Neodiprion lecontei: one gene and its partners. The main gene of each other region encodes a partner of the protein of the gene in region 3 in a complex. Links are inferred from orthologs where the notes say so. Each region holds a gene or a part of one and is shown on either strand. Other genes may lie near its edges. The genes, in order: LYR motif-containing protein 4; iron-sulfur cluster assembly enzyme ISCU, mitochondrial; cysteine desulfurase, mitochondrial.

What was found.
Region 1: cysteine desulfurase, mitochondrial (region 3) and LYR motif-containing protein 4 share a complex: the UniProt entries of both Drosophila melanogaster proteins name them as parts of the mitochondrial core iron-sulfur cluster (ISC) assembly complex. The link is inferred for Neodiprion lecontei from reciprocal best matches to the Drosophila melanogaster genes Nfs1 and bcn92.
Region 2: cysteine desulfurase, mitochondrial (region 3) and iron-sulfur cluster assembly enzyme ISCU, mitochondrial share a complex: the UniProt entries of both Drosophila melanogaster proteins name them as parts of the mitochondrial core iron-sulfur cluster (ISC) assembly complex. The link is inferred for Neodiprion lecontei from reciprocal best matches to the Drosophila melanogaster genes Nfs1 and IscU.

Annotation. Positions count from the first base shown.
Region 1 is NC_060262.1:37,509,887-37,519,821, reverse strand, and holds LYR motif-containing protein 4, read left to right. Parts: upstream 1-4,376; 5' UTR 4,377-4,406; exon of another isoform or gene 4,407-4,449; intron 4,450-4,534; 5' UTR 4,535-4,572; coding exon 4,573-4,655; intron 4,656-5,046; coding exon 5,047-5,239; 3' UTR 5,240-5,383; downstream 5,384-9,935. Other genes in the region: probable phospholipid-transporting ATPase IIB, read left to right, coding at 1-45, 128-368, 449-615, 701-904, 1,142-1,275; probable phenylalanine--tRNA ligase, mitochondrial, read right to left, coding at 2,309-2,599, 2,711-3,003, 3,107-3,828, 4,273-4,376. UniProt on the Drosophila melanogaster protein: Stabilizing factor of the core iron-sulfur cluster (ISC) assembly complex that regulates the stability and cysteine desulfurase activity of Nfs1 and participates in the [2Fe-2S] clusters assembly on the scaffolding protein IscU.
Region 2 is NC_060263.1:33,901,579-33,912,700, reverse strand, and holds iron-sulfur cluster assembly enzyme ISCU, mitochondrial, read left to right. Parts: upstream 1-3,940; 5' UTR 3,941-4,024; coding exon 4,025-4,114; intron 4,115-4,621; coding exon 4,622-4,846; intron 4,847-4,924; coding exon 4,925-5,003; intron 5,004-5,831; coding exon 5,832-5,926; 3' UTR 5,927-6,475; downstream 6,476-11,122. Other genes in the region: wee1-like protein kinase, read left to right, coding at 97-979, 1,149-1,463; polycomb protein Scm, read left to right, coding at 7,826-7,853, 8,220-8,504, 8,616-8,851, 8,947-9,514, 9,743-9,919, 10,045-10,578, 10,719-10,873, 11,077-11,122. UniProt on the Drosophila melanogaster protein: Scaffold protein for the de novo synthesis of iron-sulfur (Fe-S) clusters within mitochondria, which is required for maturation of both mitochondrial and cytoplasmic [2Fe-2S] and [4Fe-4S] proteins.
Region 3 is NC_060264.1:23,143,929-23,155,590, forward strand, and holds cysteine desulfurase, mitochondrial, read left to right. Parts: upstream 1-4,052; 5' UTR 4,053-4,082; coding exon 4,083-4,188; intron 4,189-4,271; coding exon 4,272-4,351; intron 4,352-4,533; coding exon 4,534-4,650; intron 4,651-4,714; coding exon 4,715-4,852; intron 4,853-5,115; coding exon 5,116-5,321; intron 5,322-5,423; coding exon 5,424-5,545; intron 5,546-5,607; coding exon 5,608-5,765; intron 5,766-6,027; coding exon 6,028-6,299; intron 6,300-6,380; coding exon 6,381-6,470; intron 6,471-6,569; coding exon 6,570-6,633; 3' UTR 6,634-6,802; downstream 6,803-11,662. Other genes in the region: uncharacterized protein LOC107224137, read right to left, coding at 379-1,440, 1,535-1,624, 1,717-1,877, 1,943-2,191, 2,271-2,440, 2,517-2,632; GTP-binding protein YPT6, read right to left, coding at 6,969-7,167, 7,255-7,499, 7,647-7,826; ragulator complex protein LAMTOR4 homolog, read right to left, coding at 8,227-8,475, 8,553-8,624; isocitrate dehydrogenase [NADP] cytoplasmic, read left to right, coding at 9,789-9,989, 10,636-11,662. UniProt on the Drosophila melanogaster protein: Catalyzes the removal of elemental sulfur from cysteine to produce alanine. It supplies the inorganic sulfur for iron-sulfur (Fe-S) clusters.

The DNA of each region.
Region 1 (9,935 bases), on a different chromosome or scaffold from region 3:
GTGACGGTGGAAACGACGTTTCAATGATACAAGCAGCGGATGCTGGTGAGGATGTTACTTTGTAAATCGTTAATATATTTTTAGCTTATGACAAGCTTGGACTAATTGATATTTTCATTTTTTGCAGGCATCGGCTTGGAGGGTTTAGAAGGACGTCAGGCATCTTTAGCTGCTGATTTTTCGATTCCTCAATTTAGTCATCTCTCTACATTGTTACTCGTTCATGGCAGACGAAGTTACAAGCGATCTGCTGCTCTGAGTCAATTCGTCATCCATCGTGGCTTGATCATTTCTACAATGCAGGCTGTGTTTTCAGCGGTTTTTTATTTGTCGTCTGTGGCGTTGTATCAGGGATTCTTAATGGTTGGGTAAGTATTCAAAATCAATACCCCAAAATTATTGATTGATTACGGTGGCAGAGAAACATTCAATTTGGTCTTGTTTTCAGCTACGCAACGATTTACACGATGTTCCCAGTGTTTTCATTGGTATTGGATAAGGACGTATCCGAAAAAATTGCACTTACCTATCCAGAGCTTTATAAAGATCTTAGCAAAGGACGTTGTCTGTCTTATAAAACATTCTTTACGTGGATTTTGATCAGTATATATCAAGGTAAAATACTGTTTATAATCCTTTTCACGCTGTACACTGCTGCTACTGATTTAAGTATGTGACTATTTTTTCAATAAAATTTTAGGGGGAGTGATAATGTATGGTGCCCTCATCATGTTCGAAGATGAATTCATCCACATTGTGGCTATTAGCTTTTCGGCGTTGGTATTAACAGAATTGATCATGGTGGCCTTGACTGTTCGAACCTGGCACAAAATTATGGTTCTTGCTGAAATTTTATCTTTGGGGTTATATTTGTTATCCTTGGTCGTGTTGAAGGATTATTTCGGTAAGTAAAAATTAATCATTTTGACAGTTTTCATCAAAGACAATAGTTATTTTTGTAATTTTGTCAATAGTCTTGCACACTAATGTCTTGGCACACTAATATATTTTTCATCTAGAAGTTAGTATTGGAGTTGCGATCACACCCCATTTCATTACTATACTTACTAAATTCTTAATACTAGCACAATATTTCTTTTCACGTGTGCTATAATAATGACAAAAATTTACTTTTATACAGATGCCGAATTCATAAAAACCACAGATTTCCTTTGGAAAGTACTAGTGATAACGTTGGTCTCGTGTATGCCGTTGTACATTTTGAAATTTTTGAGAAAAAAGTTTTCACCACCGAGTTATACAAAGTTGACTTAAAGTTTAATGTGATAAAATTTGACCAGAGGATATGCGTAATCAAGATAAACTATACCCTGAAGGATCAATTATCTAATAATAAATTGTCACAAAAAATTACTGATTACCTAAAATATTATACACATGATATATTAAGCATCAACGCATTTTACGGCACTCACGTAAATTAAAAACGAGGTCTAGGCAAACTCACTCGACACAAACTTATGGGCCTTGTCTCAATCATTCAAACCGGGACACTGTAATTAATGATTTCCGTGGAAACACTAGATTTTTATTACATCCAAGCATAAATGGTCTTTTACTACAGACGAGGTAAAACTTTTCCAGTTGGACAGATCTCTTGTGTATGTCAATATACTCCGAATGAAGAATGCAAACAGCAAAGCTTGAAAGCTGCTTTGAAACTGTAGTGGTTTATTTTCTAATAATACAATGCTAACACATTTTTTTATGCTGCCGTTTTATAAGTTACCTGATCAAAAAAAAAGTTGTAATTCAGACAGTTATTGGCATTGCCCTATGAATATTAATCAAGGCAGTCAAGAGGATTTTGAAATATTCTGCATTAGTTAATAGGTATATTTTAAAAAGCTTTGTGATTCATTGCAAGGTTTGCCTAATAGGCCTGCTTTGCTTATATTTCTGATAATTTAATCTTCAAACGAGACAAATAGTTTATTAAACGTCGCATACTAGACTCAAAAATTAAATTTTAATTGCTCTGCATACCATTAGAGTCGTGAGATATAAACATATATTTTTTCCTGAGAAAAATTTTTGTGATCATGTTATAGAGACATTTAAAAGTATACACAGAAACGATGACTAAAATAAGATTGATAACTAATTATAAATATACATGTATACATGCATACATATGTTATTATATAATCTGTTTTTAGTTAATTTATGCGAAATAAAATAATATATTAATTACTTTAATATCCTTATCAAAGTACTAAGAATGGTTGACAGGGTACAGTTTTAACACAGCGTTCTGTAAGTAAACATGATTTATTAATATTTCAAATTACCTAATCTCAACATTGAATTTATCCTGAACAGCTCTTCCGATTTTCCGGTGAATAGTATTAACTTCGAATTTTGTCAAAGTGCGTTCCATGTGTCTATATGTAATTTTATAACAATGTGACCTGCGGTTATTTTTCGGATGAACAAAATCATCTATCAATGCGACTTGCTCGATAATATCCCCTCCAATATCCCTGACTATTTCGAAAAAATCGTTTGGCGTGAACTCAGTTTCGTTTGGCAGCCAGAAACTTATATCACTTGAGGATGGTGGATAGATACTGACTCGCTGAAAAATATCATTTATTAGTTATATCTCAACCCTTAGCAACCGAACAAATAGAAGAAACAGATTAATATTTAAATTCATTCAAGACGAAATCAAACTTCTGTACATTACCTTGTATACAATTCGTGAGTGGTAATCCTCGACTTTAAATTGGTTCAAAAAACCAGGATCTTCACTCCAAAACAGCCTGATGTCTGGTATAGAGTAGAACAACATAGCAAGACGTTCCAAGCCAGCACCAAATGCCCATCCTATACGATCTGCAGCTCCAGATTTCTGCAAAATTTCTTGCCGTACTATACCACATCCTAGGACCTCTAGCCATTCATCATGCTTCAAAATTTCCAACTCCCAAGATGGGTGAGTGAATGGAAAGTATTCGTCAACCCATCGATATTCAACATCTATGAAAATGAATGACACGTTATAACATATGGATGAAGTGGTAATTTTCAAACTATTCCAGTACGAAGGAGCAGACAAAAAATGACTACAATTTAGATGCACCTTGACCGAAGAAACTCTTTACTAATCCGACTAGAACGGTTTTTAATTCATGTTCCATAATTTTTGTTGCTTCCAAAGTATGGCACCCTTGTTTATCAGGACTGTCCGATTCCCTGTGCTCAAATATCCTCAAGTTTTTAGAGTCCTCTACATTCTGAAATATCTCATCTTGTGTCCGAAGTCTCACACCATCCACTTGATGAAATACAGGATAATGTGTCGAGTTAATATCATCTCTTCGATAAACGTCACCGATGATTAAGAAGTTGTTCAGACCCATCAAAATTAGTTCTGCTTGATGAGCCGTTGTATGAGCTCTGAGTAAAGTTTCAGAGTTGACATAATAGCAATCAGTTTTACTTCGACTGGGATGATCTTTTGGTACAAGCAGCGAGTCAAAATTTTGTTCGACCGTGACAATTGGTCTCAGATTATCATGGACACTGAATAATGGATTGCCCACTTTATTTGGATAGGCTTTGTAAAAATAATCTGCGATCCGTTGTCTTATGAGTGACAACGGATGATCAGGTTTTAGATGTAAGTTTTTTCCAGGATATTGGGATATCCTTTTTGTCACATTTGTCCATTCGTCTATTGGGTATTTCTGATCGAGAAGTTCAAGTTTCTTTCCCTTTTTCACCAGTTTCGATGCAAGGGAGTATTTTCTAGCAGGCGATATCCACACGCAGGCATGACGTATGGTTTTCAGCATGCTGTATCTGTAGTTTATTATAAAAATTATGTTACTTTATCGTTCTACGAAATATGCGATGAATACTTGGGCAAAAAATGTTTAATTTTTCTAAAAAAAAAGTTACAAAGAACACGTGTATCCACTGTCATTCAATTCTATAATCACATAGAGCAATCGGTTTCGGAAATTTTCTCTGAATGAGTACCTTAACAACTGTGTATGAGAAATCATCTTTAATCAATTACTGAGACAACACCGAGAGTCACCGGTAATATTTACAAGTACGTATTTAAAACTAAAATAAGGTTAGATTATATAAACCAACGAGTGCATCAGGTATGCGTCTCACAGTCTTCTCACATAATATCTAAGAAAATTCCAATTGAAATTTACTACGGTGAATATTTCACACAATTAATATAAAAATTCTTTTACAATGTGAAATTAGGGTTAGGTTAATTGTTGTTACTTTTTAAAGGCCCCTCTAGATGGCCTGCCATCGTACACACCTGAGTTTTCACTAGATCGAGAGAAAGAGTGGGAAGAGTTACGTTTTTCACCTACAACTTCCATTCAATGTCTTCAAGCTCTCTCTACCACCAGGTGTAGCATTGTTGGCTTTATATCCGTTTAAGATAATATATTATTATTGAGAGTCTTTGGTCTGCATAATTTTCCAGAGATCATTGTGTCAATTTTCGACTTTGTATAATTTCTTACCATGTTGGCAGAACTGGCTATCGAGTGATTTGTTTAGCTGCCAGGAATCATGGCTGTCGCCCGTGAAATGATCGTCAACCTCTACCGAAATTTGATCAGAGAAAGCAAGAAATGGGATTCATACAATTACAGGCAAGTACAAAATATCTATCTAAATACGTAGAGGTGGTAGGGCTTGATATTCATTCTCTTTCGTCCGCTAAGAGCCTCGATCAATGTCGGCACGCATGGTTCGGCTTACGCAACGTAGTAGGTCGAGTGACTTTCTACTTGACAACCACGTGCATCCGGCACTGCTTGAGAAACTTGTTAAAACAATTCTTATAAATTTGTTACAGTGTCAACGCGCCAAATAAACCTTGTTCGAGAGCTAAATCAATTTTGTTTGAAATGACTTAACTCTTACAATTAATAGAATGTTCTCGCGTACGGTTTTTCGATTGTTATCGTCACGTGACATAGCATCGCCTCTGCCGACAGACAAGGTGATTTTAATAATCGCGTATTTAATCTTGTATTTCAGAATGTACGCACTTAGGAAAATCCGTCATGAATTCAGAGAAAACAAATTGCTCCAGGACGCAGAGAAAATAAAAGAAAGTTACAACTACGGACTGACGAATTTGGATATGATCAGAAGACAAGTGACGATCGGGAATCTCTACAGCACTCGCCAGCTCGTGATAGAAACAACACCTACGCAAAAAGCGCTGTAAATTTAATCATTGGATAATGCAACGGTACGAATAATTGTTATTATTTAATATCGTTCAGTGAATTGTGTAAAGGACTTTTATTGTTGATCAGTTCGTTTATTAGTACTAAGCCGGTAAATTATAAATAAAAATCAGTCATCTCTGTCTGCTCATGTATTGTATGGCCCTGCTCTCAGAACAATCGTATATCTTAAAGTATGCAACTTCGATAATCTACAATCTCCAAAAACACAAGACTGCCAATTTCAGAATCTGTGCATTGTACGTACGTTTTATTTACATTCGAAATACAAAATGCACGACGACTTCCGAGCATCGCGATTAATGCTCCGCCATGTCGCATGTAATCACGTAATCATACGACCAGAATGCTAATTATTCGATAATCTTTTTCGAACCCGTTCGACGGTCGAAATTATTTCCGAATAACTTGGTAAATAGTATGAGAAGTACGTCAAACATCTTGTACACAATATATCTAATCATATCTCCACACGAAGAATCGAGTGAGGTTACTTATACGAGTAACGATTACCGGTCTAGATTGCTACAAAGACAACGGTATCATAATTATCAAATAAGGGCGGTACTCGCATGAAGAACACTTTGTAAACAGTAAGATATGACGAACAGTTTCTGGTTTTCGGATTCGGACGGAGCTATGTTTATTCTCTTACGAGCCACGGTCGCGACAGGCGAGAGACGATTCGCTCCGTTGCCCTAGACGGCTTCAAGTGTAAACACAGCGAATATTCTTACTCTCAGAAACATCGCGATGATGCAGGATCCTGTGCATTTATCCGACATCTCAACACGTTACTTTCGTGATTTCGTTGCCGCTTGCATGCATCATTTACTTTTAACCGCGTACCGCGAAATAATACATATGTTTCTCCTGATCTTAACAATTTTTAATTGAGCGATGTGAAGTTTTTTCAAGTGCGTGTTATTTAACTTGTTGTAATTTTCATTTGCTACAGTAAAACAGTGTAAATGCTTCGTTTTTGGAGGCTTAGAAAAAATGTCTGACGTCGATTGAGATTTCAATTATTCCAAACGTCAAGAAGAGTGAAAGAAGCTTGACGGTACAATCAACTCGAACTACGAAAATTTTAGGTATCATCGGTCGCGGACATTCTGCCGATGGTGTGATAGGTAAGTCGCTTTAAGATTCTTCTAATTCAATCATGACTGCGTCCTGTACCTGTAAAAAAGTGCGTTGCGCTGATGCTGTTTCGTTTATCGAACAATTAAGTTATTTGTGTGCGGGAAAAAAAATGTAATATCTGGACACGCAAATTTGTTACAGACCGTGCCTAATAACAGGCAATTTAATTGACAGACCGCTCTTAGCGTTTTACTAACATAGTTTCACTCACAATCAGTAAACATAGCGTATTGGTAAAACGATTTGCTACCTTACGTACTGCCTGATTTATTGGTAGTGTAGCATGCATCGCTACAGTGATGTCCTATTTTACCGACTACTGATAATATCATCTGTCAATGATGGTTAAACAGATGACAACACCGTCATCACTGGTTTGTTTCTTCTCATACCCGGTGTTGCTAAGACGATTCAAATCTATGTAAATGAATGAACACCATAGTTTCACACTTGAGATCACTGACCATCACTGACAGTTATTAACAGCGCTCAGATGCAATCGGACGGGTTGCACAGTTAAGGTTACTGTGAATTCTGCGAGTTTTCCAAGAACCCTAAATTTAACGATTCATTTTTGCGAAGTATCGTTATTTCGCAACTTGAGATTTGTTGGAAATTTAGTAAACTATTGATATAATTCAGGAAAATACAAACATATTTTGGAAATTTAATTCGTTTACAGTAATTCAAAAAAAGCAAAAAAAGTGATATTTTTCTTACATTTTCCATTACATTAGCCTTATTGACTTCAACCTCGTGGTTAGCACCGACACAATTTTAATTTGCGAAATTCACTCGTAAAATTTTGCTGAGGTTATTGATTAAGTGGAATAAAGACGCACAAAAAAGTATATGATTCGCTATGCAACAATCGATGAATTGTTGGTATGTGATGAATAATTTGCTGCAGATACGCGAGTAAAAATTATTCCGCGGGTTCGGTTTTTTGGCTAAGCTCGTCACGCAAATTCTCTGTAGAAATGACGGCAATCTTTGCTTTTGGACTAACCACTGGAATACATAGCTACTTATTCTATGCCGCCTTAGTTAGATTTTTTCTTTATAAAAATTTAAGCTCCAGAACATTTCAAGTGTAGTTTCTCTCTCCAATGCGGTTACGCTAAAGTATAGAATATCCATGCTGGTTTATTATGATCTAATTTGTATGATAAATAATTAAAAAACAATCTTGAAGCTTACCCATGGACTTTACGTAAGAATATGACAATTTTCGAGATGGGTTTAACTGTCAAGATTGTGATTTGTATTTATTAGTGAGTTTTCTTTCGTTTGTAAATGCGAATATGGTGAAAACGACGGGGAAAACATTGAAATAAAACGATGGTTGGCATGTGTCATAACGATGGAAGCATGAAAATTGGTCACAGCCACGCAGTGCATTTGGTAATATTTCGCGTAAAGCGACCAAGGTGTGGGTATAAAATGAACCTAAAAAGTTGAACGAAAGCTACCAACCCCTCTCAAGCTTCCTCAAGATGTCTGCGCCTCGCTTGCGCCTAACGCGCCCAGCAAAAACTTCGTAATGAGCGAAACGAGCCAAGCTAAGGGGTGATGTTTGCAAATCATTAGTCTGCCGTCGAAAGCGCCTCCCAAGTTAAGGGGAAGGAAGCCCTACGAACATGAATGAAGAGGGTTGTGTGAGTGAGGAGGATGAACGAGGAGGGTTGAAGTCGAAGCAGCACGAGGACCACTGACGTCTTGTTTGCCTACGTACCGTAGGATTATTCGCTTCCGTGAAGAAGAGTTATAGATGTTCTATGAAAATTCAGCCTCCATGACGGTAGCGTTCAGCTCTCGGTTCTTGGTACAGCTATTTGAAAATGTTCGAAGACGTCGTAAACACCGTGCGGCTGAGGTGTTCGCTGTGAAAGAGAGGAAAAGAACAAACAAAAAAATAACGCTTACGAGCTGTAAGGAAAAAGATTCACCAAGAAACAAATACAATTTGTCGTTTGTGGTTTTGCTCGGAGGCGTTACTGCACCTTTCCCAGGATTCCGGAATTACACGGAGTGTGAAAAGACCCTCTGCAAATGAGCCTTTGCAGAGGTAGCAAAAAAATAAGAAAAAATTAACTCGTTACGAAGACTTTCTAACGAACGTTGAAAATTGTTACGTAGATCGCTTCGCATCTGTAAGTCAGGCTTAAGATGTCTGAATCCATCACGAAAGATATCCGCCATTGGGATTACAAATTTACTAGGGTGAAGGCGGTTTCCGTTTTTACGAAAATCACATGTCTGGAGCGAGATTTTGAATTTTGCATTACATAAAAGCAGAAATGTAAACACCAACTCATTGAGGACGGGGTGGCTTTTACAAGAGCTTTAAATCCTCTGACGAATTGCCTGCAATGGTGATCTGGAGGTACCAGCGCAGTAGTATAGACAACGGTCTATTCGGTACCTTCGCCCTCTGGAAACAAAGAAAACAAAGATTTTACTTGGTGAAATTACACGCAAGAGGAATTACTGTAATTTGAGGTTCTTCAGAAAGCGTACCTACAGTAGGCGGCCGGAGGAGCAGACAGGGAATAAAGACGTAAGAAAAATCCGGGAAATGAGGTTAAGTCAAGCGGCAAAGACGGCAATACTCGCTCTAACCAGCGTGGACGAAGGTTTCGCGACGTTGCGGTTGAAGCTTCTCGGAAACTGAAATTACTTCCTTTGCTTTGCTGTAAGGATGGAAGTAAGAAGACGGAGAAGGTGGACGGAAGATCATTTCTTTTAGAGCCGTTTCACCCCGCTTATTGTATAAGTTTCTCATCCCGATTACTGACTCACCGCTAACCGTCAAGATGCGGCAACGTTAATTTAGTTTGCACGCGCATAGCTAATCGGGCAACGCCACGTAATGCGATTTGATCGTCCAGAGTCCTCCGGGATAACCATGACATAACAGCCCTTCCCTTGGGAACCTCCATAAATAATACCCGTATGCAAATATTGTGACGGGCCGTTTCGAATTCTAGTATATACGTATGCCATTGCGATTTCCCGTCAACCTTTCGCCCGCGATCTTCCCGACATCACTGGATGTTAAAATCAAAATGATCACCACTTTAACTACATCAAATTTTCAATCTTATGCCCTGTGCAATTTTCTGTGGAGATTCTCTCCATCATAGGGATTCTTATTTCTCTATAATATTGCGTTAACTGTAATTAACATTGATGTCTAAAGTCTTGATGATCCGGCAAAATCCATATTTCGGTTAATCGGTTTAGGTGCAGTCGTAATTGAAACCACTTGTACAACTATGCCGCGGAAATATAAATGCCAACTGTTCTATTTATTTATGAGATCCCAGTAATTAACATTATTACAACGACTGTCGACTAGCTCAAGTGCACTATACGTCTATATACCTTTACAGAGAGAGAGAGCGACACTTTTCTCGCGTTACGTTCGTCCTCGCTGCAGGTCGTAGCAATTCTCTTTACCACTGTTTGTGATCTTTCTCACGACCGGCATATTAGTGGCACCGGGATGATCCTGTTAACAGGATC
Region 2 (11,122 bases), on a different chromosome or scaffold from region 3:
TGATCACTTTCCAGTAAAAATTAGCATGTAATGGAATTTTCTTTACAAATATTTACGTGCATGTGAAAAACAAAACTAATTTCTTTTCATTACCAGTTCTCCTGAGCGTAGAGCACCATCTACAGACTCAGTTGACTTAGAACATTCAGACACCGAAGTAGAGCAACCAACTAAACGTGTAGCTCTTCATGAATCTAACATATCAAGATATCACCAGGAATTTCTGGAGCTCGAGTTGATTGGCGTTGGAGAGTTTGGGTCTGTTTTCAAATGTATCAACAGGCTAGATGGTTGCATCTATGCAGTGAAAAAAAGTATCAAACCAGTTGCTGGAAGTGTAAATGAAAAAAATGCGCTCAATGAAGTATATGCACATGCAGTACTTGGCAAACATCAACATGTAGTTCGCTACTATTCTGCATGGGCAGAAAACGATCACATGGTTATTCAAAACGAGTATTGTAATGGCGGTAGTTTAGCAGATGCAATTTCAAAACTACAGGCTGAAAAAAGGAACTTTACCGAAGCTGAATTGCGTCAACTTCTGATACATATTGCTGAGGGACTCAGATATTTACATTCAATGCAGCTAGTCCACATGGACATCAAACCAGGCAATATCTTCATATCGAAAGAAAAAAGACTACGCGCTGTAGACTACGATTCTGCAGATGATGGTTTTGACGAGGAAGACACAGTCGAAGAAGAAATTACTTATAAACTTGGAGACTTGGGTCACGTTACTTCGATTAACAATCCGCTATTTGAAGAGGGTGATTGTAGATATCTACCTGCTGAGATCTTACATGAGGATTTAGCCCACATGCCTAAGGCTGATATCTTTGCGTTGGGATTGACTATTTATGAAGCTGGGGGTGGTGGCGCGTTACCTAAAAATGGTCCTGATTGGCATGAAATTAGGAATGGGAAGCTAAAGGAACTGCCACAATATAGTAGAGATTTTAACGAGCTATTGAAGGTAGGTAATCCCCGAAAAATAATAATCAAATTCTTTTTGCAAATTACATGTTTACTTGAAAAAGAAAAATGGTAATAAAGTATCAACTATCAGTGCCCGGATATTCAGAAATTTATCACCCATTTGTATATTTTCAATATTTTAATTTACGAGGTCCTTATCATTGCAGCTTATGATTCATCCGAAGCCTGAGATGCGGCCGTCAGCAGTAACGCTGATTCAACACAGAGTCCTATGTCCTTTTGGAAAAAAAACTAAAGCACAACTTAGGCGGGAGTTGAATGCAGAAAAATTGAAGAATGGAATCCTGTCGAAACAACTCCAAGAAGCTGCTAAGTGCCTGAAGACACTAGCGCCCAATATGACTGCTATGAATACTACAACTAATCTTGGAGGCTATAGGCTAAGGCCTACACCGACTAGAACCTCATCTCGAACTGTTGGGAAAAAGGTCAACCGTAGCAACAGCGCAACTATCTTTTAATACCTAACGATTTGTTTATTTATTAGAGGAGAGGGAAAAAAGTCAACGCATCCCAAAGACAGGTGTAATACCAGGCGATGCATTGATGTTGTGATATGCAAGTAAACTTAGTACGTAAGTCGAAATGTAATAAACTTTAAACAAAACAAAATTCGGTGCGTAGAGTAAAATGCATTGCCGTATATTTATTTTGAAGTTTAGCTATATGACTGATATGACAAGGTAATAAGTCGTATAATTTACGGGGTAAAAGAAAATTTTTAGGGAATTGAAACTATGTCGTGGTTGACAAATATTTTTCTGTACTAACATGCGTAAAAATTAGATCTATGTGCTCTATTTTTGCTTCAAATCGTGCTTTGTCATTGCTTATTTTTTTTTTTTAAATTAGTATCCCAAAAACAGATATAGAGACGTTACCGTGGCAAAATCTTTACCGGTAACGAGTTTAAATAACAGATGAATAAGATATAAATACCCTGCACAGACAGCACTATTCGCAGGATCATTGAAATGCTGGCATTTTTCGTGGAAATTTGTTTGGGTGGCCAGATAAAGTGAAAGGATCATTATTTTCTCCTTATCACTTTTTAAGTTATAATTTGGTTGCTAAAATCATGTTTATTCTATTCCTTTTTTGTGTGTGCTGAAAACATCGTAAACAAATTCTGCCTCTTGTGGTAACCCATTGTCGTATATAGAAATTTGACTCTGCATGCTACACAATAGTAAAAGTATACTCACGCTATTAGATATGTGGAGTGAAGTGCAGTATATTTTCTGAACTGAAACTTTATTTTTTTATCACGCTGAATTATTTTTTAATAATCTTAATGAGTACCTTTTTCAGTATGCATCAAATATCTTATCACACTACATGTACTCTATTATATGTTTCACATAGAATAGATGTTGAATAATTAAACTAAACGTTAGGAGCAAAATATGTTATTTTTAGTCTCTAGTTACGTTTGAGTTACTAGGTTCAAATTTCATTTTTCTATTTACCGATATTGTAGTTCCTTCAAATGGCAACTCCTGTTTATTATTGTTATAACTTATGAGACGTGTATACACTAGTATGAATTACTCGAAAAAACGTGATTTAATATTTAAAACCTGCAACAGTTGGTGCCTATTCTTCCAATAACTACGTAGAACAGTATTTCAGTTACAAATATGTTGATTTTAAAATCAGATGCATGAATATTATTTGTTTTCTGCCATATCGTGCAGCTGACAGCTTTTTGTTAAGAATGGAAATAAGACAGAACGCGAAAAACATGACCGAACTAATAGATAATTAGCTACAAACCTTACAGAATATTTTAGAAACATAACTTTCGCACGAATTTTCCGTAAATTAATGTATATACCACGGTAACCGAATTTTCACAGTTACACGTAAAAATTCGTCATCTTGTAAATAATCACTGCCCAGAATTGTTCTTATACCCACGAAAATTACTATATTGTATCTAGTTATTGCATCAGAAGTAATAGAGTTAAAATTTCTGACATCTAATATTGACGCTAGTACTGCATATCCATGCTCGTTTATCTTAAACGTATTCAAATATACTACGCTATATTTATAATAAAATCATTTCTCATCACTTTAAAAATATATGTCATTGCCATATCCATGACACAAAGGCTATCAATTTTTGTTTTTGTTTTTTTTTTTTGTTTATTTATTCTTTTGACACAGTACGTATAAAATTATCCGATTTTAAGCATTTTAATTGCATCTTTCGCACTGTATTGAAAAGTGTCATTTTACGCACCAACACCAGTGCGAAAACTTGAAGTTTACGCATACCATGTCAAAAAATAAATTACGAAACATGTGCGTGAAATCACATTTTACACACTAGTTGTATAGTATACAATCGTACATTACGTGCATCCACCCCTATTAAAGTCATTTATAATATGAAAGTATGTATAATTTGGTGTACCAAATTAGTAACAAAATCATCGCCGAATGTGAAAACGCGTACCGTAATTCAGTTACTAACGAATACACTCAATTACAAAGATAAGGTTTTGTTGTAATTTCCGTTTGAAAACGAAATATAACTATGAAACTAGAAATCTGCGAAGTTGTTTACAATTAACCAACGAGATAAAGCGAGTTAGATTCTCCGTGATAAATTTTAGATTCTGACTAAATTTGCATTCCATGCGCCATTCACCAATAAGTATTGTACATACATACATTGATATCGAAATAATAAATCATGACGTTGACTGAAGATGTACAGGCATGCATACTACACATATGGTATATATCTCCAGTCGCGATAACGCTCTATTGCGGTGACTGAAGACGCGAAAACGCTCTATTGGGTCTGGTCTAATTTCGAATTTCCCGCGAAATGTGAGTTGACAGCGTTGACTGCAGCTATGTCCATGACTGTGCCGTCAACGGAATGCGCAGGGCGCTCACGAGGTGCCGACGCGCACTGCGTCTCGTTCAGAATTGTTCTAGACGCTCGTCTGAGCTGTTCCTTAAACGACAACCGCAAATCATCAAGGCAAGTTGATATTTAACAACCATGTCTTTACTTCGTGTTTTGCCGAAAAAATTTACGGATGCGGCAAGTGTTCTATCCCGAAGTGTACCCGTTGTGTCATATCATGTCAATGTAAGTATTTCATACCTGATAACCTACCGTAATGTCCGATTCACTATTTGACATTTTGCGTAACAGTAAAAAAAATCTGTATAAATTTTTTTTATCTCGTAAAGTTCGGACATTGTTAGTTTCAGATTGTATTTTCAAAACGTCGGACTTGTTTACTTCTTAACTTTTTCGTATATCACAAACTGTATATGTCCCAATATTGTTGTAAAGGGTGAAATCATCAATCACCCGTGTTATCGGCTTTCTAATGATCTAGTAGTCATCTTAAACTGAAAGCTTTCATATGTCTTAAAATGAATAGGGTTGCTGGTCAACAAATATTATTGTGAAAACAGTCAGTCTCTGGACTTTAAAAAGAGAACTTCCTGACCAAATACATCCACTTTCTTTCTAAAATATTCCTCGTTTTGTGAGACTTCTTTGGCTCGGCGTTCGCTCAATTCGCGCAGTGAACCCATTGATTCTCAGTCCTTTCTTAATTTCCCCCGTTGTTACAATATTATCCAGGTGCTAGACCACTATGAAAATCCGAGGAATGTTGGTTCTCTTGATAAAAATGACAAACATGTGGGAACTGGCCTTGTAGGAGCTCCGGCATGTGGCGATGTCATGAAACTTCAAATAAAAGTTGATGAAAATGGAAAAATCACTGATGCTAAATTCAAGACATTTGGCTGCGGATCAGCTATCGCCTCTAGCTCTCTTGCTACTGAATGGGTTAAGGGTAAAACGGTAAGTTCATGCTTCGATTAATCCTGTGTGTGCATTATACTTTAAACATCGCTAATCACTATTAATATTTGTAATCAGGTTGACCAAGCATTGGAGCTAAAGAACACTGACATTGCAAAGGAACTTTGCCTTCCACCAGTCAAGCTACATTGTTCGAGTAAGTTTTAGCCCATTAGATTGATAATAGCATTGTTAACCTTTCGTTAGTGGCACTTGCTTGCACAACGAATTTCATTGTGCGGACAGCACTCTGCCACCTATGTTAAATGAAATGGGACATTGCCACGTCACAATATAGTAATGAAATCTTTTCATTAAACAGCTTATTTGATTATTTTGAAAATATATGTATCGAACATAATTTCTTTTAAATCTAAGAGTATATAAGCACACTGTGTGTATCGACCATCTTTACTGTCAGCTGAGATGTTCCAAGTCAGCTCTGGCAACGTGGTCGGAAAAATTGAATCAATGATTTAACTCGTGTAATGAGCACTGTGCTACTATTTCACGATCTTATTGAACATTAATATACTTTTCTTATACATTAAATAGTTATCAATTATGAGTATATCCAACTATAGTAAACATTTCAAAGAAAAAAGTAGTAAAGTATGAAGTCACAGTTACTCATATAGTTACATATATTGGGATTTTTGTCTAAAGGCTAAAGTCACGCTCAAAGTGCGAGTAATGAAAGGTTAAAGATAAGATTTGTATGACGAATCAGAAATGTAACTGGGTTGCTGGCATGAAAAATTAATAATTAATATTTCATGTACCAAAATCCAAGTGCTATGGTTTTTCAGTAGCTAGCTGGTAATTTAGTAAAGTAGACTTGGTAAAAACTATAATTTTTATTCTATATCAGAAATTCAAGGCAATATTTCCAAATCCAGTTTTTAAAAATCCATTTTAAACTTTTTTTTAACTTGCATTCGTAGGCATGTAAATTACTATAAAATTTAAAAAATCCTTATTTCAGTGCTTGCAGAGGATGCAATCAAGGCAGCACTTTCTGATTACCGCATTAAGCAGCAACCAAAAGCCAAAACAGCATCTGGCAGTAATGAAGTTTAGAGTTGCATACCTAGAAGTATAAACAGCACCAAGCAGGAAAACAAACTTTATAGGTCATAGTTGGCGAAAAATAGTATATTGCATCATATCTTGCAATCCAAATTAGTCAACGTTTAAATTGAACGTCTAATATTCTTTACTGTAGCTATCTGCTGTAGTACAATCTTGGATGATGAATACAGAATCTATAATAGTTACATGTATGATCAAGTTTATAAGAGTGAGATTCTGATCGAACGTAAGTACGTCGTTTAATTTCAAATTAAATTTCTCCAACTGACTTATACATGTATGTATATACATATAAACTTACATATGTATATATAGTATTCACTTGTATCCAAAATAATTGAAATTATATTTTAGTACGCATAATATTTATTGTTCGGGTTTATAAAGCTTGCGGTTATGCAGGTTCACGATATATCATAGTGATAATTACCTTGTGATCCTATTTTTCATGGAAATTTATATTTTATTAAAGTATATTATACATATAATAGCAGATCGGAAAAATTCTACTGAAGTAATAAAAGTGGCGTTCAAGCATTTTGGGTATATCTATGCCCTCAATTCCCGTTACTTATAATGTGCGTAAAACTTTAATGTGCATACTCTCAAATTAGTACAGGATAAGTACAATCTTGAGGAGAGTAAAAATTAATCCTCTAACTCTCGAGAATGCTAATGTCCCCCGAACTCGCGTCGGTTCAATAGATACATGCGGGCGGTAAGATAATTGAATGGCGCTATTATGCCATATTTGCGAGAGGTGATGACAATCAACGACGGGCTCGTCGCTGGCTAAAATCATCAGTCTCTCTTTAGCCTAAGCATTGACCCATGTTCCTTCCCACTCTAGAAACTCAGCCTGGTGCTGGTCACAGTATAAGAATAAGTGGTCCGACTCGTGCTGGATGCTGTGATTATTTTACCAAAGTTCACCAGCCGAGTCCAGGTGTCGCATAGGCCGAAAAACCACCGCCCGCAAAAATTTAAATCGTCTTTCAGAACAATTTGTATCCGCGCAAAAGTTGACGTTTAACATACAACCCGTTAATACCACTTTATAAATAAATTATGATCTTCGGGAACGCCAACTAACGATACTGGTGTTTCCGAATGCCGATACCCGTACTGGCAGTCAGGTACATAGCGGAACTTTCCCATTTTATTTTAATGTATCAACGGAGTAATCTAAAATTGCACCAGAGCAAATGAACAACCCGTTCACGAACTCCGTGACCAGAAACAAAGTGATCAAACAGGTTCGAAATAAAGATACAGGAAAAATATGTTTTCACAATCATCTATTGTGACACCAAAGGATACACGTGGCGGAGAGACAGGGGACTTTAGTAAAACAACAATCACAGAGCCTTGCATCGGGAGCAGAGACTAGTAGAGTCTCTGTCGGGAGTATAATAGAGCAGTCGGACGGACTAGGTATCTCTTAATTTTTACACCGTGGCGGCATTCGGCGCGAGTTCGGATCGGACAGGATTTGGTTCCAAGAGACACCGCGCGCGACTATATAAAAGCAATATGGCGGCGTTGACAGTAGACTCTGTGCTTGTGGGTGTATAATATTATCAGAATGAAAACTACGTAAATACAGTAGGAATTATAATCGTCAAACGTCCTACGTAATCAATGCTTAATGCGGATCGATAATATTTATATAATTATACTGCGCGATCCCAACCGAGCCGGTATTATTTTCAACCCGGGAACAATTTTCCGCGCTCAGGGGGCATTCTCTAGATGCCAAAATGTGTATCGTTAATGGATGCAAATTCTTTTGATTGTAGGTGTCATTGTTAGTTGGTTGCATAAATCATTCATGGTGGTTAGTTTTGTTTCTGGCTTATATTATTAGCCAAATTACTACCGGCCAGGATGTCTGCTAACCAAGGGAAGATGCGAGGTATGATATATCGCACGGTTATAATACGTAAATAACCTCGTCTTTCACTTCTAATGTCTTTTTTTTTTTATTCTTCAATTAAAATCGCAAGATTATTCAAATGCTATATATCTGTACTTTTACATTAAATAAGTGTGTAAATCTCTATCGTTATATTGAATTATTACTACCTTGAAATTAATACCTTCTAAATGATCTTCCATACATGAAAGATAAATCGTAACGATATTTCGGCATCATTGATTTGAAAAGAAAGATGTGTCAACGATGTATTTTGTAAAATAACTTCAAACAATCAGATTTATGACTGAACAATCACATCATGTAGTTTTTGCAGACCTATTTAAAGTTAATATTTCAACTTAGGCCCAGGTCGACCACCTAAACCAAAGAGTTCCTGCACTTGGTGCGGAGAAACAAAGCAGCCGTTGAAATACGTACTGCCGACACAGCATGGAAAAAAAGAGTTTTGTTCAGAAACTTGTTTATCCGAGTATCGCAAAGCCTACATCAGAGGGGCCTGCGTGCAGTGCGATAATGTGATTAGAGGGACTCCAGTCAGACTGGAACAGCGTGATACTCCAATCAAGGATTTTTGCTCTTCTTTCTGTCTTAATAAGCATCAAAAAAAAGAGAGTGAATCAAGAAAAAGTTAGTAATAATCCTAGATCAATAGACTCATTGATGTTTACTGTTATGGCGATAATGTTATTTCTCATAATATATTATCACAATATATAATCTATGTGTCTTTAAATATAGACAATGGTGAGCAACCATCTCCTGCAGCCTCTCCTGCACCTTCTGGCCTCCCTAGTGGAAGTAGCATCCCTTCGACAACGCAATCTTATACCGGCACCAATAGTCAACCAACTGTATCTCAGCCTCCTTCAACATCATCTGGTCCTTTCCAGTATGAGACGTACCAAACGTTTGATTGGGAATTATATCTCAAAGAGACCAACAGTGTGGCTGCACCTATTGATTGCTTTAAACAGGTACTACTTGTTTTCATCTTCTATTTTAGTTTCCTTTTTTGCACAGTATAAAATCTACCCATTGATTAAATTGATATTTCCCTGTAAAATGGCAGCACGAAGTTCCGCCAACAAATGAATTTAAAATGGGAATGAAACTTGAGGCACTGGACCCTCGCAACTTGACTTCTACATGCATCGCAACAGTAGTTGGAGTCTTGGGGCCGAGATTAAGATTGCGACTCGATGGTTCGGATAACAAAAACGATTTTTGGCGCTTGGTAGATAGCAATGAAATACATCCGATTGGTCACTGCGAAAAATCTGGGGGAATGTTACAACCACCGCTAGGTTTCCGGATGAATGCATCTAGCTGGCCAATGTTTCTTTTGAAAACGCTTAATGGCGCTGAAATGGCACCAGCTAAAGTTTTTAAACGGGAACCAAAAGATCCACGTTCCAATCTCTTCGAAGTTGGGTACAAGCTCGAAGCTATTGATAAGAAAAATCCACAACTTATATGCACAGCAACTGTTGGCGCTGTAAAGGATGACATTATTCACATAACTTTCGATGGATGGAGAGGTGCTTTTGATTACTGGTGCCGTTACGATTCTCGGGATATATTTCCTGCAGGCTGGTGCTTTAAAAGCGGACATCCGCTACAGCCACCGAGGCAAAAATGTAAGCCCAATTAAATTTAATTTTTCTGATACAGATACACAGTTGTGAAAGTATTTTTTAAATTTTAAACAGAAATATTGTGATCCATCATGATTAGATAATAAATAAAAATAAATTATTTCTTGCATGACAAAATTTATAAGTTGGATGGTTTTGAACAACCACGGAAGTACTATCGTAATTAAATTACTCTGGATCGATGTGTTAATATTCATATTTTTACTATAGCAACTGGACAAAACAGATTCAAATCGAGGACAAGTAATGTCTTGCCAGTGCTTACTGTGTCAGGGGGAGAACCAGCAGTAGCCTTAGTCAGCCCAGCCGGATCGAGCGTACCTCCGCAACCGGCGACAGAACCAGATACAAGCACGGCAAATACCAAAACTCGTCAATTTGAAAATGGTATGATAACCTTTTGAACAATGATGTAACCATCATTTTCGAGCTTGAAGATTCAATGGAGTATCAGAAGTATCTGACATTGATGCGAAATTTGTGTCCTGAAATGTGTATATCTTTTGTTACAGTAACGATGTTTGTGAATCACAATTGTTCATCTGGTCCTTATTTTGATCCTCGTAAAGTGAAAGCTATGCCCGCTCAGTTTGGTTCAGGACCAATGCTAAGCGTGACAAGAGACATTTTTCAAGCCCTGTTAATGGCAGCGATCAGCCCCAGACAAATGCTAAGTTTGTTGAAACGGGGTGAAGGAGAGTGCATTAATCTGACGCTTGAAAGCAAACCAACATCTGTGAGGTTACCAGTGTTTTTAGAAGAAGAAGATTTTTACACATACATCAGAAGACAACTCGAAGATGTGTGTGCCTGTGAACATATGCTCTTCAGGCGAAAGGAACAGTGTACAAAATGTCCTGTACAGCAATCGCCATCCAACAAAAGGGACGAGTCTAATGGCACAGCTGAGAAACGGAGATGGTCCTCCGATAGCCAACAAAATCCCACAACCACCGCACCACCCCTCCAATCCAGTCCTGGCCCTGTTTCTACAAACATACCAACCTCACCCACAGCAGCCAAACAACCGAGAAAGCCGGTCCTTGGTAAGAATTGCCAAGACATTGATTTCCGATTTTAAGGGAACTAGATCCACAAATAGATCCTCAAGAATTTCTGGATTAGGTGTGATCAAATTCAACCTTTGTCAAAGTATAGTTGAGAAATAGCTTAGCTTTTATTTCAGAATTAGAAGCAGCCACATCGACAACACAATCTGAAAGTCCAGCTAGCAGAATCTCTTCTTCAGAGCCTGCTGAGTGGACTATAGAGGATGTCATTCAATACATAGCTGCGACGGATCCTGCATTAGGCCAACATGCAGATCTATTCAGGAAACATGTAAGTTTCAGTGAAATCTTGTATTATTCATAATATAGTAAATAGTAACCCTTTTCCAACCATACCTTAATAATCACAATGAAAAGATCAAACTATACCAGTGCAATTCTACTATTGTTCACATAAACATATGGTAACGTTTCTCTTGTATGGAAAGCTTCAATTACATTATTATTCGTGTCAAAAATTTTAATCTTTGACAGGAAATTGATGGTAAGGCGCTGCTGCTTCTGAACTCAGACATGATGA
Region 3 (11,662 bases):
CGGTAGCTGTCGTCCCCGAGATAGGCAACGAAGTTACACGTTTAATTTCGCACAGAATTTCTCACCTAAATTGCTATGTATCTTCGGTTGCCCATCCCAGGAGCTACAGATGCAGTGACCGTGGGAGTACATATGATAATATTCCCACCCAGAATAATGGGGAAATTTGAGAGATTACATCGCTTTGTTGTGTATGCCTGGTCCAATAAATTACTACAGCCTACGATTTGAGTTTCAGTTCAATTAGTCATGGTGAAACCTATAAGACCTATATCTTATACCGTATTCGTTAAAGTAAGTAGCAGTACCGATTTACAACGTGAAACGAGCCTCGACGTGATCGATCTACGATCCTCGCTCCCTCCCCTCACCCTTCCATCACTTTCCCGACTGATGATCTATGCTCAAATTCAAAGAGTCCGGGCAGTCATTGCCGCCAGATTGCTGCTTCATGCCGTGCACCGTCATGTCCAGCATAGTACCAAAATCGGACTTTACATTCGCGATGGAAACGTCGTCCATAGAGTAATCGTTTCTGGTTGACTTCGACGAGTCCCCGGAGTCGGGGTTCTTCTTCTGTTCACCGACGGGCAATTCACTGACAGTGAGTTTTGTATCGACGGTCGACATTGCGACAAGACCCTTGACGACGTCAGAGGGCTTAAACGAGATGTCGGAAGAGATGAATTCGGATATGGGAAATTCGGTAGTCTTGTTAACGTCGATCACTGTCACGTCCTGGGCCTTGCCACCGAGGGGGTTGAACAGGTTGGCTAGGTTGCAGGCGTAGGCTGGGGACGTCTTGGCAATGTCGTTTATTGAGAAACCCGACAGTTTGGCCAAATCACTGGTTGAAAAGTTGGCCAGCTTCGAAAGGTCCGAGAATTTGCTCAGCTGCGATATATCGGCGAGTGGGAATTCAGGAATCCTGTTCTTGCCGGCACCGTGGGAGCTGGAATCGCTCGACAGGAGATTGCTAACCTTGGAAAAGTCCGCGGTTGAGAAATCGTAGTCTGGTTTGGAATTCTTTACGGAAACGGTCAGTTCACCGGATGTGAATTCAGCCGGCAACTTGTGCTTCGCATTGAGATTCATATCCGGCATCGGTAAGTCGAATTTCTGCCCTTTGGTGGCTTCAAGGGTGTCGTTTTTGTCCTTCGAAGTCGACGGCACGTTGAACGGCTTTAGTATGGAGACGCTAGAGTCTAGTTTAAAGTTTACGGGAGTGAGGAAAAGATTGTTAGGATTGATGCCAGAACGGCCCATGGGGTCAGGCACCAACGGGAACTTGACATTCGAAAATATATCCGAATTTCCCGCTATGCTCGATGCTTGCGTTGTCGTTGGCGGATCCTCCATTCCAGGTGCAACGATTTCTCTGATGGCGTCCCAGTACGATCCGTTTGACTGGTTCCTCGGTAGTTTTGACTCCAATGAGCTCTACGAAAAAGAATGATACAAAAATGTTATCTAGCACTGATTTACTTTTCATAATTCTCAATACACAAAGTTTTTGCACGCGTCGCATACTTGCCTTCAATTTTTCCAAATACGTCACAGAACCGTTAAAGATTCCTTTGAAGTCGACACAGCCGTCATTTTTGTAATACTCGACACATTTTTTCTGAAAAATTAAAAACCAGCCATTATAGTAGATACCTGAACTGCTGCACAGTCGCTAACTACGGCATTGAAATTCAGTGCTGAACATCTTACAATTTCATCAATAGCTTCCTGAGAAAGGAATTGTTCCTGGGACAGGGTGTAGCTGAGCAGCATTGGTCTCGGGTACTCGTGAGGCCGATTTTCCGGTGGAGGGAGCGACCAAAAGAAGTTGAAGTTTGACTCGTAGCAGTTATTATCTGTGTTATACGGAGCTGCGAAAAGTGAGCCAAAAATTTAAGACTGTTGGGATGACCAAAACGCAAACAACGAAACTCACAGCAGATAAGCCCGACACATGGTGTGTAACTATTGTCACTCAGTCCTTTCATCTTTATCTGATAGTCTAGTTGAGAATCGACATCGCGGAGCGACGGCGACGCGTGCGTCCTAGGATGGGAATGATACCATCCTACCAACGTGAGATGCTTCCATTCCATGGCTCGTGCAATTTCAGCCTCAGTTGCTGCAGCTGCAGTTTTGTCTTTCCCATTACATCGGCATGGAAACGCGTAGTTTATTGTCAAATCTATGGGCATCAAGATCCTTAATAAAAACCCGCAATTTTCAATGTTGTCTACAAATATGTGTTAGGAACTGAACCTCACTGTGAGCATTAATGTCCCAATGCCCCCCAAGATAACCACACACCTCCTTGTCCTTGAGATGGCAATGCAGGTCGACGATGAGCGCTGCAGTTGTGGAGAGAGTGACAAGAAATGGCTGAATTTTCCCAAGGGAACTGAACGACGTCAGTTCAACCATTGTGCTCATGTCCCTGCAGAATGAAACATGTGATATCTGATATTTGGCACGGAAGTGATGAGTTACGGGTTGACCAATAATTAGCTTACATTGCGTGACTTCTGATGCCGAGGTTGGTGTGCTTGACGGGAACTCTGACGACTGGCACGCTAACCGGTGGTTTTTCTATCACCTCCTCTGTTTCAATCGCGGCATCCATCATCATGAGGCTGAAATCTAAGAGAACACAAGAAGTGATCCACGAACCATGTAGCTAAAATCGCTAAAATTTGTGAGAGGATGAGTCGAATTTTAGGTTATGTATCGACAATAATATAAGCAAACCTAATTTTAAGTTCAACTTTGGGCAAGAATCGCAATACAGTACGACCTAAGGGTGATTTTACACAGTTACGAATAGCATTGTTGAAGAAATCGTTAAGATTTGTGATAATACAGTGCGGGGAAAATTCAGGAAAATCAGGATTACACTCTCGCGGGCGTCGGCACAGGGTCGGTACTGTTGACACAAACAAAAAGCACGCGTACTTTTAGTTCAGTCTGCTACCACGGCTGTCACAGAGCAGTACAGATGAGAAATTGACGCGGCATTTTCAAAACAAATCCAGAAGAGTAACATAACACGTAAATGAGACGAAGGTAAATGAATGTTTCGAACAAGAGTTTTACTTGGTAAATTATTTTAACTGATTTATAAAGGCTGTGTAATTTCGTTGACTCATTGAAGACTGTCGTTGACTGGAGACTATTGACGTTTTAAAAACGGTGACCCTAATCAGCGTTGATCAGATTAAAAATTTTTTTATGAACGTTTTATGTCAACGGTCATTTCAAAGGGTATGAATTCTACAAATTTTATTTACTATAGTGATTTCATAGAATCCATGCCAATTCTTTATTTCTGCGTTAAATGCAAATGTATAAAAGTGTTTTTGTACAGAATCGCGTATAGAATCGGGATGTTGAGCTCGTTTTTGCGTTTGAGATACGTGGACTTCGATGTTTGCAAATATATAAGTCAACATCAAAATCGACCAGGGCACTCTTAACAATGACTACTCTAAAACGGTAACCATCAGAGGAAAAGAAGAATACTGAAAGATGATTTCACATATTGGATGCATATTGGTCACTTTGGCACAGCTCATGCGCGCATAGTTGAATCTATCCAAACAACGCACTGTACCTGTTAACTCTAAACGTCTCTGCGTCGCATCAAATTTTTATCACAAATTCGTACGTGTAAAGTGCAATTAGCAAATGACAATCTTAACAAACATCCTGCACGGAGTTTTTCGCGCCATTGACGGCTGATCGAGGCCGAGGGGACGAGTTTCCGATTGGTGAGAGGCAAACAGAACCGCAGTTACGAGCAGGAGCTGTTCTATCAGGGTTACCGACGCTCTTTCAGGTTAACCGCACTTCACTTCACTTCATTCCAACTAATCTCTTTTCGTCGCGGCACCAATTGATCGGTGATCCTGCGTACGCCTAGCTCTCGACTCTCGAGATTCAAGATCTTGATTAGATCCGTACAGTTTCCTCTGCCTTCGCATCGAGATTCCTAACCCAAATTCCTCCTTTTTTTGAGCGCGCGACCGGCCAACTGATTGAGTAAATGTCGCACGACTGAAGAAGGCCGATCAAACGAAAGAATGTTTCGTTTGTGGAAACGACTCGTGCCTCTTGCGCGCGATCACCACGTCAACGAAGTGATTTCGTCGCCCAAGCGACACTACGCGGCTGTCAAAGAATTCGAATGTACGCTGAACTAGTAAACGAAAGATTTTACTACAAATTATGCAATTGCGCCTAACTACTTGTTAAAAATCGTTTTTTTCCAGCTCCCATCAGTGATGAGTACAAAAAGGGTCCAGCGGAGGGTCGGCCCTTGTATCTGGATGCCCAGGCCACTACACCATTGGTAATTATCCACCTCTCGAACGGAACTAAAATTATTCTTAATCTCACACTTGTGATTGTATAAACGTATTTTGTTTTAATAACGGTTTGTTTGGAAAAATTTCAATCGCTAAACTTCGCTAACTTGTTTTAATCAGTATTAGTACATCTGGGTGTCAACTGATACGTCGATTCTCATTTCAGGACCCACGTGTGCTGGACCAGATGATGCCGTACATGACAACATACTACGGCAATCCGCATTCCAGGACTCACATGTATGGATGGGAAACAGAGGCAGCTGTTGAGCGTGGTCGGAAAGTTAGTAAGGATCTCGTTTTCTCTAAGTGCTTTATATTCTATCCTCTTTCAATTTCTCTTGTAGCAAGTTGCTGATCTGATAGGAGCTGATCCGAAGGAAATTATATTCACGTCTGGGGCCACGGAGTGCAATAATATATCTGTCAAGGGTGTGGCTAGATTTTACAAGGAAAAGAAAAAGCACGTTGTAACGACACAAACTGTGAGTTGAAAAGGAAAATTGGATACGATGTAAACTATTTGATGCTCCATTTGATAATGTTTTCACTGTGAAATAATCATTGATGTTGGCTTACGTAGTTTGTTTCTAATTTTGTGATTACATTCCGTTTCAAATATATTGTATGCTTGAAATAAAATTAATTGGAGACCAGAATGGAAATATTTGTAAAACATAATGAAGTATGAAGCCACGGGCATTTGATGAGAAGTATTGAGGTCTCTCAACTTGTTCTTTTTACATAGGAACACAAGTGCGTTTTGGACTCCTGCAGAGCTTTGCAAGCTGAAGGATTCAATGTCACATACCTCCCTGTCAAACCCAATGGATTAATCGACATAGACCAACTTGAAGCTGCTCTGAGGCCTGACACATCACTTGTTTCGATAATGACTGTGAACAACGAAATTGGTGTCCAACAGCCAATTGCAGAGATTGGAGCTCTATGCAGGTTGTTATACTGTAAAATATATTTTAAGTTTCAGAACAAGACAAAGATAAAAGCGTTAAGTATTGAGCAGTGAACAGATTATCATATTTGTTGATATTGCAGAAGGAAGAAAGTTTTCTTTCACACAGATGCTGCGCAAGCTGTAGGAAAAATTCCGATCAACGTGAACGCGATGAACATAGATCTCATGTCGATCAGTGGTCATAAGTTGTACGGGCCAAAAGGTAGTGCATAAAGAGATCGAGAAATTTTTCAAAATATCCATGCATCTCAACTAATGTTTCAGGCATAGGAGCACTCTACGTCAGGCGTAGGCCAAGGGTTCGTGTCGAAGCCCTTCAAAGTGGCGGGGGTCAGGAAAGAGGCATGAGAAGTGGAACGGTGCCAGCACCTCTGGTGGTTGGGCTGGGGGCTGCTTGCGAGCTCGCACAAAAGGAAATGGCTGTTAGTACAACACTTTCTCAACTTTCCATATGCTTCACTGTAAAGTGTCCAGCATTACAGAAAATTGGGAAAACCTGAAAATGTCATGAGATTATTACTTTACAAGGAAATTTCAGAAAATTTCCAGGAATTTCATCAGTCTCTGATTTCAAAAGAAATTACATTTTTACGTCAGTTTGATAGTATCTGGTGTTAAGTATCATCTTCAATTTGAACTGAAAATTATCTGGATTAATACTTGTGTTCTTCTCCACGTTTACAGTATGACCACAAGTATATAGAAGATCTTTCCCAGCATTTGATACAAAAAATAATGGGCAGTTTAACGAATGTGGTGCGTAACGGTGATGAAGTTGCCTGGTATCCTGGCTGCGTGAATCTCTCTTTTGCTTTTGTCGAGGGAGAGTCATTGCTGATGGCTTTGAAAGATGTGGCGTTGAGCAGCGGCTCAGCTTGCACGAGCGCCAGTCTAGAGCCAAGCTACGTCTTACGTGCCATTGGAGCTGCCGAAGACCTGGCACATTCCAGTATAAGGTAGGCGTGAATGTACAATTTTTGCAAACTAGGATATCTGACATATAAATGCTGACAATGGCAAATTACTGTGCATTTCAGGTTTGGAATTGGTCGTTTCACAACTCGTGAAGAAGTCGATTACACAGCGCATAACATCATACGCCACGTTATTCGACTCAGAGAGATGAGGTATGTGTTTTATGCGCTCGATGTCAAAATTGAAACTCTAGCAAAAGTTTTGTTTGCTTGTAAAATTGATATAATTCTGTTTTCTCTTCCTCCTGCCAGTCCACTGTGGGAAATGGTACAAGAGGGTATCGATATCAAGTCAATCAAATGGACGCAGCACTGAACAGTTCCTACTCAAAAAGGGCTTTGTACACGGATTATTTGTTAAGTGATACATAGTAAATTATGACTAGCTTAGTGAGATTTCAAGTTTCCAGATTTCAACATTGCATTCGCTGCATAGTAGTATAAGAGTTTATGATAAATGAATAAATTTTTATTTTGAAAATTTATCAAATCGCCACACATCATTCATCCTCCGTCAATAAATTATTATAATATTAATATATGCTCAGCCAGCGTTTGTCATGACATAAATCATGCATTTTTAAATTGAAATCCGTTTCCTCTTGAGTTGACTAGAGAAACGTGTTCTGGGCATTAAAAGCTGAATCAAAATTAGCACAAGCAGGATGGCTCGTCGATTTCGTCGGAACTTGTGATTTTGAAGTGGTCCTTGTCCATATCGTGCAGTTCCATACGCGATCTGTTTGCCTCGACCAAATGGCGTGCAATATCTTCAAACATTTCATCAACCCCGTGCCCCGTTTTACACGACGTTTTGTACGTCGCCGATATCAAATTGTGACACTGTTCACTGGGAAACAAAAGTTACGACTGTCAATGAACTTATTGCTTTAATTCTCAACATATAATTACGATGTGAATAGATTATTTCTCTTACCAGAATTGTTCCATTTCCACATCTGTGACCTGAGGATCAACGCTTTCCAAGTCGCTCTTGTTCCCGCAAAGGAATATCTTAGCGTTTTCCGCGTAAGTTACAATGTCAAGAAGGTGCTGTGAGAGGAGGTGAAAGGAGGTCGGATTGTCAAGCGAAAAGACCAATATTGCCGCCTCTGCAAATTTGTAGTAACTGGATGTTATAGAGGCAACCCTCTCCATTCCTCCTGTGTCCCATAACTGCAGCTGGAAAGTCAGGACCACCCTCGACGTTGTAGAAAATTAGCCAAAATTGACAGGTGTAAATGAATATACTTGTCCGACACAATAAATTTAAAGCTGCACTTGCACGCGTGAAAATAACTGAACGTAACAGGCAAATGTGCTACTTACGCGAATCGTTTTTTCGTCAATGGTGTACTGTTTGTTGATATTGTCCAGTCCCAAGGTCGATTTTCTATCATTGTTTGAGACGAAGGTATTGTTCGCGAATCGCCTAAATATCGAACTTTTCCCGACCCCGTATTCGCCACATAAAATCACCTTTTGTTCGGTTACCTTGATGGTGGCCATTTGTTTACATCTAAACAATACTACCGATCATTGTTTAACGGGTTATATTTCCCACGCGTATTATTACCGATTATAACTACACACATTTATGCATGCGTACATATGCATATTCGTGATAATTAAAAAATATTCGCGCAGATTGCAGCATCTTTGTTCAGTCATAGACGTTTTGCTAAGCTCATAGATGGCGCAGACTGCCTAAAAACCGAAGAATCACCCTCGGTGTCCAACTACATCTATAATTAGTCGATTAGGTGCAATGAACAGAACCACTAGCAAAAAAGCTAGGAAACTTGCTACCGTTCACATTTGCGATCTTTGCTTTATTACATGTCTCATTTTTATATTTCAACTTAACATATGTTCCTTGTAATTATTTCGATAAGCAATATTTGACTCATCAAGCAATCACTGGCAGGTGCTGCTGCTGCTGTTCTTGAGATGAGGTCAACGCGGTTATCTTCTTCTTAACAATGTGAACCTTCTTGTTTGACAGGCATATGACGTAGCAGTGATCTTCGTAGGTTATGGATATTTTGTTGAATGTTTCATCGGACGCAAACGCCTTGGGATCGATCGTGTCGGTCAGAGTGATCAGGCTCATGATAATGTTTGCAATTCTCTCGTCGTTTTCCAGCTCTCCACCCGACTGAAATGACAGCAGTGAAAAAAAAAAAACAAAAGTAAACAATGATGAAGCTCTCGACTTGTATCGCGTTGTCATACCGTGAGTACCGCCCCGTCCTCTTTTAATACCAAATAACCGATTTGCTCAGGTATTCTCTCCATCGACAACATCTTCAAATAACCTAGCGGATGTTTGTATATTGCAGAATGGTAAAATTTAACGTAAGCACTGGGGAGCCGAGTATCAAAATTGTCCTTGCGAGGAAGTGTCACCTGTCAACACACAAAACCTGTGGTTTGACGTGTGGCGATAGTCTAAAATACAACGCGGTAGCCAGCGCGATGCAGCGCGATGTATTTTTCTGCTCTTGTTTTCTGCCTGCTTAGACTTCAATGTAGCCAACTGACAAAACTTGGAAATCTGGAGATATCATTTATCGTTTGTTCACCGTGGCGCTGTAATCCACTCTCCTGTAGTTTGGTCTCAAATTTACTCTCTAGCTCCTCTAGCTAATGAGTGCTGAAAATGGCCGAACTCTGTGAAGTTCGCGGTATGATTTTCTGTAGTAAACCACTGAGTTTACATCACTGATCTCTAGCATACAAGTAGAGGTCAGTGGTTTACAAATGAGACATAAATATCATTACATATCAGTGTAGCAAATGTCGTAGTTTCATCCTTGTTTTGACTTTGAAAATAAATATCTCATTTATTCTGAGGCATTAACAAGACGTTATTATCACGCATGACACTCACAGAAATTGCTAATTCAGCCCGCCTTTTAAATAACACCACACAGTACCTTTAATGCATGTGCAGTACATATTTCGGATATTTCGGGGCAAAATGAAAAAATATTGCGAACCGTAATTATGTAGATAGCCTGGAGGGCAGCTGTTATTAGTCCGATATTTTATGGCGGATGCCACCGCTGTTACATTGCCTCTCGGGCTTCGGCCGATTGACTCGACGGCTGGCCGCTCTAGGCGGCAATCGATTGCGTAACCAACTCCCGTTAAAAGAATGGCGCGTGTCAGCAATACTGTTAACGTCTAGAATTCGCTATCAATTTTATGTAGGGGTGGCATCAATTGACCCGTCAATGACAATAAACCGTTGGTTTATTGTACTCTTCGGACCCGGGGAGCGCGTCCAAAGGTCCCTGGGGTACACAACTTTCCGCGAGAGATAACACATCTCGGGAACCCGGTCGACGGGACCAGTGACGGTGCAACTCTAGGATCGTTCGATACGCGGTACGCAACCCGTTCCGTACACGTACTCATCCTATCCCCTAGTCGTATAATCCGGTAATAATAACAATAACAGGCGCCATGTTCCGTTCCTTGACTCGCCTGTTAGGACCGAGTGCCGCCGTGGACAGTGCGGCTCGATTACTTCGCTGCAGTACGTCGTCCGTCGCTCTGCTCGACCGAAACTCCTCATTCGACGCATCGCGCAGACGAAACCTTACGTGGACGACACAGACATCGAAAAACTTCAGCTCCACGTCAATCGCTATGGCTAAGATCAAGGTATCTATGAATGTACATATCTCACCCTGATCCATCACGCTCCCCCGAGGCGTCGCCCTGTTAGCCGATTCATCTTCCTGCAGTTTAAAAAACATTCGAGTCTCATACGGCCGGTCGCGATCGTCGCGTATCCGTTTTAAACAGTTTCTATACTAATGCCGCGACTGAGAGAAGGCACTTCAAATCACGAGACACTTGCGATTCACCTTTCGGGGAACTTTATTGTTCGCAGCGTTCGTGTTCCGAAGTATTCCGTATTTATTGCATGATTAGAACCCCGTTCCAAACCACCTTGGATGATAGTGCACATTATGGTGCACAGTGCAGAGGTCGATCCCCTCTCCTCCCCCCCACATTTAGTCGACCCATCGTTTGCCGTGGAATGTCGATGGTTTCACTTAAATAGAAAACAAGCTCGAGGTCGAGTGAAAGCTAATAAGTTTCGAATGATAAGGTTCCTACTACAATGTGGATATCACAGCGATCATTATCTCACGCGATATAAGCCGTAATAATCAATTGATTGATAGTTTGATTATTTCTCGGAATTTCCGTTCATGATTAGATTGTACAATGAAATTGTTGTAAATAAGATGTTCAGCAGTTTCTTATGAAAATACTTAAAGAAACAGCATTTTTCCAACAGGCTGGACCCGTCGTTGACATTCTTGGAGATGAGATGACTCGTATCATCTGGGACTCTATCAAGAACAAATTGATACTCCCGTTCCTGGATATTGAGTTGCACATTTATGATCTGGGTATGGAGAACCGGGACGCAACTAATGACCAGGTGACGGTGGACTGCGCGGAGGCTGTAAAGAAATATAACGTGGGCATAAAGTGTGCGACGATAACTCCGGACGAAAATCGAGTCAAGGAGTTCAAGTTGAAACAGATGTGGAAGAGCCCCAACGGCACTATCAGGAATATACTGGGCGGCACTGTCTTCAGGGAAGCTATAATCTGCAAGAATATTCCGCGGCTGGTGACTGGTTGGAATCAACCCATTATTATCGGCCGTCACGCCCATGCTGACCAGTACAAGGCCACAGACTTTGTGGTACCAGGTGCCGGTAAACTGGAAATCACCTGGACAGGTGAGTCAGGCGACAAAATCCAGCACACTGTCTACCAGTTCAAGGGGGCTGGCATCGCTCAGGCCCAGTTCAACACCGACGAGAGCATCCGTGACTTTGCCCACAGCTCTTTCCAGTATGCTTTGGCTCGGACCTACCCGCTCTATCTTTCGACCAAGAACACCATCCTGAAAAAATATGATGGCAGATTTAAGGACATTTTCCAGGAGATTTACGAGGCTGAGTACCGTTCCAAGTTCGAAGCAAAGAATATCTGGTACGAGCATCGGCTCATTGACGACATGGTTGCCTACGCTATGAAATCCGAGGGTGGCTTTGTCTGGGCTTGCAAGAACTACGACGGAGACGTTCAGTCAGATTCCGTTGCTCAAGGTTATGGCTCTCTAGGCCTGATGACCTCTGTGCTTCTCTGCCCTGATGGCAAGACGGTCGAGGCTGAGGCTGCGCATGGAACAGTCACTCGGCATTACCGCCAATATCAACTGGGTAAAGAGACATCGACCAATCCGATTGCCTCGATCTTTGCTTGGACAAGGGGCCTACTACACCGTGCTAAGCTGGACAACAACAACC